2 linked regions of the Elephas maximus indicus genome follow. Each later gene encodes a partner of the first gene's protein in a complex. Links are inferred from orthologs where the notes say so. Each region holds a gene or a part of one and is shown on either strand. Other genes may lie near its edges.

Region 1 (3,600 bases):
AAGCCAGTACCTGGTCGGTGACGTCGTACACCACGATGATGCCATGGGCTCCCCGATAGTAGCTGGAGGTGATGGTCCGGAACCGTTCCTGACCGGCTGTGTCCCACTTCATGACAGGAGGGGAGGAGAGACAGGGTCAGCCTCACTCCATACCCAGAGCCCCATGCCCCTCCCAGAGTAGTGCCTCTACATGGCGGCTATGGGAAGAACACCACTCACGATCTGAAGTTTGATGGTTTTGCCATCCAGCTCAATAGTTCGGATCTTGAAGTCCACCCCAATGGTGCTGATGTAGCTCTCTGTGTATGTGTCATCCTGAAAGGGCCAGTGAACGGGTCTGAGGCCCATCTGGAAAACCTCCCTCCAGCTCCCTGCCCAGCTGAGCTCCTAACTGCCAAGCCCCAGCTCTCAGCACCCCACTTTGCCAGCCCTGCCGCCTTCCTGTTGGATGTGTTGCCAGCAGGTCCTGCAACTTCATCCTTGGTCCCCCAGGTCTCATAACTGCTGTGTTCTAGGGTATCCCTTCTTCCCCCTGGCCAGCCAGCCAGGACCCCAGATGGACGGTACAGGAGACTTCTTACTCACAGCAAACCGCAGGAGCAGGCAGGACTTGCCCACGCCCGAGTCACCAATCAAAAGCAGCTTAAACAGGTAGTCACTGGAGAGAGAGGATGGGAAGGCATGAAGGATGGCAGGGAGCCCACCCACCAACATACTGGAGTCACAACTGTAACCTTACTGGGGGGTGTGCCTTGGTTTGTAAGACGACGACGCTCACCCAACCCTCCTTCTAGTCCCCCACATAATATAGCTACCCCAAAAGGCTCTCAGTGTGCTGAGGCTAAATCCCAATTTACAGAGAAGGAATCCAAGGCACAGAGAGGGACCTGACTTGCCAAGGATCACAATCAGTAGCGACAGAGTTGGGTATCCTACTCATTCCTGACAAATTTCATTGTTCTGTCTGATTGGGATTACTTAGAGAACCCCACTGCATGCCCTGTGGTGTGCCTGCCTTGGCAGGCGAGGCCGCAGAAGTGGAAGCCAGAGCCCAGACCAGAACCCACTAAATAACTACCTACGTAAAGAGCCTGGTATGAAGCCACCAAGCAGAAGTGGCCAACAAGTAGCAATGGCAACAGCAGTTAACAGTCACTGAGTTCCTACTTTGCCTGGTCCTGTGCTAAGAGCTTCAAATGCACCATGTCATCAAATCCTCACGTCAGTCCAGTGAAGTGGGTGCTGTTATTGCCATCTAAGGAGAAACCCAGAGCTGGAGAAGGGCAGTCTTGCCCCAGGTCACACAGCTGTTAACTATACTACTAGAACCAGGTCTGTCAGACTCCAAAGTCTCTTTGCCAGCCTGCTGGTTTGCTTCTCTGTTCCCCCTTGTAATCCAGCTCAGAGCTTCACCCTGCCCCACGGAAACCTGTGGCCTGGATCGGGAGGAAGAAAAGGAAGTGGCAGAAGAGGAAGACAATGATAACTGATACTCCGGGGAAACTATCAGTGCGAAGTCCTGGCCAGGAGATGTGGGCCACCTACCCCAGCTACCCCTAGGGGGAGTGACCAAGAAGTGAGGAGAGTTCGTGGAGCAAAGAATCCCACCGAAGCGGGGAAGCAACTGCCACATTTCTGTAAACTTCAGTGTTACAGCGAAGGGAAGAGGTGTGCCGACGGCGGCAGGGTGCCTGTGCAAAGGTGAGGAGGGCAGGACAGAATGACTGCCGGGGGCGGCAGGGCAGTGCGGCCCAAGCGAGGGGCCAGGTGACAACCCCCCCGGAGCGCTGCCTCGGGGCCTCCGGTGTTGTTGGATCTGCAGGGCAGAGGGACTTAAGGCCCAACGTAAGGGCTCGAGTTTATACCAAGACCAGAGACTATCGTGACAGGCCCCAAAACGCTGAGACCGTTGTCTGCACCAAGGCCGCTGCCACGTTCAAGCCGCAGGTGGGGAAACTGAGGCCAGGAGAGATCGGGGCTGCGGGGTCACCTGACCGTTAAGGCCCGGTAGAGCACATGCCTCGGGCCCCAAGCAGTGCCCCTCGGGGTCGCCGTCTTTGGGCGCTGGGTGCAATGACTCGGGGGGTGTCGAGCCGGGGTTCGGGGGCACCCGGGGGGAGGGGCAGAACCCGGATGTGAGGGGGGGGGGTCAGCGGAAGAGAGACCCGGATGTGGGGGCGCCGCGCAGTCCTGACCCGGGCAGGACAACCCCGGTAAGCGTACAGCCCCGTACTCGGAATCGAGGCTGCGCCGGACGGCGCGGGCGGGGCTCACTCACTATTCGGGGTTCATGGCGGCAGCGGCGGCCCGCTCGGTCGCTCCCAGTCGGCTCTGCTCCGCCTCCCGTTCCAAGATGGTGGCCGCTCCGCCCCAGAGGCCCCGCCCGCGGAGCGCAGGCGCAAATACGCCCAAGTGGGGCCTCGCCGCGCTGCTTCTTGGAACTTGTAGTTTTCCACATTGTACGACAGGCGTAAAACGGAGGGCCCTCACCTCCCAGCCCGCTCCCTGCACCGCCGGCGCACTGCCTTCTGGGGCTTGTAGTTCGCTCCCTAGACGTACGTGGGATTTAGGACGGCGCCTGGGGGAGCTTGCCTGCATCCCAGCGCTGAAAACTCAGTTTAGGGCCAGGGTTAAGGGTCATTCTCCTTTCCCACGTCTGACCGAGGCGGTCATGCCTACCCTCCTAGCTCCCAGGGTCATGACCATTAGATGAGAAAGTGGGTGCCGGCAAAAGATGATGTTCATTCATCTAGAGTTTTCCGTGTGCTGGGATCTCGTAACTCACAGCGCAGCCCCAGGAGGAGAGTGTCATCACCCACATTTTATAGATGAGAAATATCGAGACTCATAGAATTCGTTCAAGGTCGAACAGCTTAAGAAGGGGCAGGGCTCAAAGTCCCCGCTCTCTATAACCCTAGAAATGGAGGTTGCCTTCTTGGGAGACTTCCGGATTCGGAATCTGAGGCCCCCAAACAATTCCGGGCAAGGAGCAGTATATTTGGGTCCCAGCGGCCCGGGTACCGGACGCGAACAACACGCACACACACACACTTGCCACTCACACGCGACCTCTCCCGACCCGTCTCTCCACCCTCAATCTTCGCCCCCCAAACAAGCCCAGCTCAGATTCAAACCGTCTTTATTTCTACAGCAATATCTGAAAATAAAGAGCGACCACCTCACTTCCCAACCGTGGCAGCCCCTCGCGAGAAGCTGCAGGTGTGGGAGGGGCGTGGCGGAACGGCTCGGTGGGCTGGGCCCGGGGCGGAGTCAGGCCTGCCTGGGCGGGGCCGGGCAGGAGGGGCAGTGCATAAGGCCGGGGTGCGAGGCAGGGCCCGGCAGTGAGAGGACAGGGAGGTCCCCTAGCTATGGCTCAGGGCGATGGCGGAGGAGGCCCGCCCCTCTGAAGCCGGGAGCTCGAGAAGACCTAGGGAACCCTTGGGGAGGCACCGCCCCTCGAGCTGTGGCGCCTGGGAGATACCACCGCGCGGAATGGGGGTGATTAAGGCCTGGGCGGTACCACTAGAGAAGGGCAAGGAGCGGGCAGCCCGGGCAGTACCCGGGAATAGTGGGGTGGGGGTGGGGGGGCGGCCAATAATT
Region 2 (3,817 bases), on another chromosome or scaffold:
TTAAGCATCTGAATCAACCAGCTGCTCCTTGGAAACCCTATGGGGCAGTTCTACTCTGCTCCGTAGTGTCGCTATCAGTCGGAATTGACTCGATGGAAATGGGTTTTGGTATATTCCAAAGCTGATTCCTTCCAAATTCCTTCATAGTAGAGGTTTTGGATACCATAACAATGACTGAATTAAATGACAGGCCCACAGCTGATTGTAAAAGACAAGATTCTGCTTTAAATACTCTGATGAATAAAAAGTAATTCATTCAACAAAGGAAAAAAAAAATGATACAGGCACTGCTTTGGCCTGATCACAATTAAAGTGATCGCTTAAATAAAGGACACTGAAGCAGCAGTTCTTAATAGTTCAGATAAAGATGGCTGCGCCCCAGTTGTTGACTCCAATTTCCCACAACTCTGCTATACAGCCAAAGTAAAGCTTCCTGCTTCTCAGAGCAACAGGTATCTCCAAAAGCATCTGGCTTGGGGAACTTAACATACAGGGGAAGGACAATGAGTAAAGATGATCACTACCTATGCTTCCTCTAGAAGTTTTCCTATCACCAAAAAAAAATTAGTGACTTAGATCAATTATCTACACACTTAATAACGGAATCTTCTGTGAGAGTACAAAATTCCATACTATTTGGTTTAAACTTGCATTTTCAGAAAGCGTTACAGTTTTAAGCAGAAGTTAAATTCTAAGCAATGCTAGCCTTAATCAAAACAATGAAAGAGCCAGTCAGAGGCAGAGGGAGTGATTCCTCTAGGCAAACACCCCCTAACCCACTCCCTTGAACTCCTGATGCTGACACTGGAAATTAACTTAAAAATTTATGCTTGAACTTCATATCTGTACCAGAGAAAGGGAGTGGGAGAGGAAAACCTCATCCTTATCCTGGGTAAGGTTCCTATTAAAAAAAAAAAATAGTCTCTATTTTTGGAGGTTCTAATTGGTTGCTCCACCGCCGATCTGTCAAGTTGTCATACTGTGGTGGCTTAGGTATTGCTAGGATACTGTAAGCCATGTCACTAGTATTTCAAATACCAGCAAGGTCACCCTTGGTGAACAGGTTTCATTGGAGCTTCCAAACGAAGTTAGATGAGAAAGACAGGCCTGGTGATGTACTTCTGAAAATCAGACAATGAAAACTCTATGGATCTCAACAAAATATCGTCCAATAGAGTGCTGGAAGATGAGCCCCTTAGACTGGAAGGCACTCAAGATACACAGTGGCCACAACAATGGACTTGAGCGTACCAACGATCTTGAAGATGGCACAGGACCAGGCTATGTTTCATTCTGTTGTTACATGGGGTCGCCATGAGTTGCTGCCAACTCATCAGCAACTAACAAGTTTCTACAAAATAGTGCCCAAATTATCAGAGATTCATTAACTACCTGAAACATAAAGGTAAGCACACATCAAGAAAGACTGTTTTAGGCCAACGATGGAGAAAAATATTCTAAATCAATCTGATCATAAACTCTACAAAGGAGGGCTTCTAGTAACTTTGCCAAGAAGTATCTGATTTTAAAAAAACTACTTTTTTTTTTTTTTTAATACTTCGTTTCTAAATTCTTTCTGTTCAGAGGAGCAAAATTAAAGGGACCAGGGGGTAAAGTCTTGCAACCTAGAAGGACCAAGCATAGCTGCACTGCAACAGGTCACAAGATCCCTGCCTCTTGGGCACTATTATGCTATGAGGCCGGATGTCACACAAACAACCAGCAAAGGGTTATGATGCTAAAGGGCCCAGAGATGTTATCCGGGGAGTCAGCTCCACTTTCATCCAGTATCAAAATAGGACAAAAAGGAGTAACAGAAAATGAGCCCAGATGTGACACCAGGTGCTTCATTTAAAGGTGGTTGGTTCTATTATGAGCAATACTTATCAGAGGACTAGGAAGTAGAAAAGCTACCTTATGCCTCCCCAAGAGATAAAAGATTATTTTTGTTGACACGGGGTGGGTATTCAAAATCTTAATTGTCATGTATTTATCATATGTAAGACATATTAAAAAATATAGTACACTACGAAATCATGACTTCATGAAAACTACTGCTTAGGATAAACTAAGGAAAAAAGAGACAGAAGAGCTTTTTACAGAATTAATATTAAAATGGATGGCACACGATAGAGAGAGAAAGTAGATTAATCGTTGCCAGGGGCTGGGGGATTGGGGAATGGGCAGTGACTGCTAATGAGCACCGAGTTTCTTTTTGGGGTGATGAAAACGTTCTGGAATTAGATACTAACTAGTGACGATGGTTACACAACCTTGCGAATGTACTAACAATCACTGAATTGCACCCTTTACAATACAGGCCGAATTTTATGGTACGTGAATTAATTTTTAAAAATAGAGGTCACAGGGAAACCAAGAGGCTGACAGGTGAATGAAGTTTGGGAAATCTGCCTTCCAGCGAGCGAGACGTCACCAGAAGTCTGCGGACGTGGCCGGACAGTCAGGCCAGGGGGTGAGGCCTGGTCTCAGTTCGCAGGGAGACCCGACTCCGCTTCTTCCCAAATGTAACGAGACAGGGTCGCAGGGCCTCGGCCCGCCCTGTCCACTGGGGACGCGAGTCTGTCGCCACGGCTCCTCTGGCCCCTCAGCCTCCGCCTGGTCCCCCAGCCCCAGGCCCTCTTCTCCTCCCCCGCCCTCCTGATCCCTGCCTCCTCCGACACCGGCCCGGCCTCAGGCCCACTGCTCCCACAGCTGTCTCCGGCCCCGCCGGCCGCCCCTGGCCCACACGGCGTCCCCGCAGGCCGCTCCTCGGCGCCCGGCCGGCTTCCGTACCTGCCTTCTCCGCGCCGCCGGCCCCGGTGCTGGAGGCGGGCCCGTCGCCCTGAGCACTCCGGAGAGCCATGCCCCGGGGGCCCGGGCCCGGGCCCGAGCCCCGGCTGGTGACCGAGCCGTGAGAGACGCGGCGGGCGCTGCCCCGAGCCGCCGGGTGGGTTTGGCTGCGTCGACCAGCGGTGCGCAGGCGCGCTAGCGTCCCCGCGCGGGCTCCGCCCCTGCGCCTGCACGTGACGCTCCCTGCGCGGGGGCAGGCGGCGACGGTCGGGGCAAGCGCGCACGCTCCCTGAACAGGGGGAGGGAGAGCCCGGCGCCGGGCCCGCGCGTTAGGCGGGTCTGAGGTGTAGAGTGTGGGCTCTTGACCTGGTGTGTTAACTGCTTTTACTTTCCTTCTCTTTCAAATGGGGTGATGATAATAACAGTATTTAAGTTAGAGTTATTGGGAAAGTGCTTAGGACATAAAAAACCCAAACCCATTGCCGTTGAGTCTACTTCGATTCATAGTATATACTGTATGTATATGAAACCCTGGTAGCTCAGTTGTTATGAGCTACGGCTGCTAACCAAAAGGTCGGCAGTTCAAATCTACCAGTGGTTCTATGGGGCGATTCTACTCTGCCTTATAGGGTTGCTATGAGTCGGAATAGACTGGACGGGTTTGGGTTTTTTTTTTTTTTTTTTTGGTTTTGTATGTATATAGTATAACGTATAAATGGCCCACAATTATGAGCTATTATTTTTGCTTATCAAGGATTATACCTCCTGTTTCACCTCACCACACCTACTCCTGTCATACCTGGCGACTTCCGGGTTTAGAAGGGCCATGGCATACAGCTCTGCAGGTTGTGTACTCCACAACGCCAAGGGGTGCCATTCACATAGAAGATTGCCCTCCTCCTTGAGTTGTGCAAAGCAATGACCACCCATTTAAAATAGAACTCTGGTTTATCAAGTCCTTGACCTCATCTCAAATGACACTCCTTTCTCTCCAGTCGGTCGTACCTTTGATATCGTTGAGGTCAGA

Evidence for each region.
Region 2: the proteins of RAB1B (region 1) and TBC1D20 are in contact, whole or in part, in a crystal structure (PDB 4HLQ), measured with the Homo sapiens proteins. The link is inferred for Elephas maximus indicus from reciprocal best matches to the Homo sapiens genes RAB1B and TBC1D20. Residues at the interface, in NP_112243.1 of Homo sapiens: Ser17, Gly18, Ser36, Tyr37, Ile38, Ser39, Thr40, Ile41, Gly42, Val43, Asp44, Phe45, Gln60, Trp62, Ala65, Gly66, Gln67, Arg69, Phe70, Thr72, Ile73, Tyr77, Glu94; in NP_653229.1 of Homo sapiens: Gln97, Gln98, Leu101, Asp102, Arg104, Arg105, Leu107, Arg108, His141, Tyr142, Tyr143, Gln144, Gly145, His147, Asp148, Phe177, Met178, Asp179, Pro180, Thr181, Met182, Lys186, Val212, Ile215, Leu218, Ser219, Thr223, His227, Met272, Ala273.

What each region holds. Positions count from the first base shown.
Region 1 is NC_064825.1:129,422,113-129,425,712, reverse strand, and holds the start of RAB1B (ras-related protein Rab-1B), read right to left. Parts: upstream 2,389-3,600; 5' UTR 2,293-2,388; coding exon 2,279-2,292; intron 659-2,278; coding exon 586-658; intron 316-585; coding exon 220-315; intron 107-219; coding exon 11-106; intron 1-10. UniProt on the Homo sapiens protein: The small GTPases Rab are key regulators of intracellular membrane trafficking, from the formation of transport vesicles to their fusion with membranes.
Region 2 is NC_064843.1:38,503,057-38,506,873, forward strand, and holds the start of TBC1D20 (TBC1 domain family member 20), read right to left. Parts: upstream 2,972-3,817; 5' UTR 2,864-2,971; coding exon 2,794-2,863; intron 1-2,793. UniProt on the Homo sapiens protein: GTPase-activating protein (GAP) specific for Rab1 and Rab2 small GTPase families for which it can accelerate the intrinsic GTP hydrolysis rate by more than five orders of magnitude. Also shows GAP activity for RAB18 GTPase.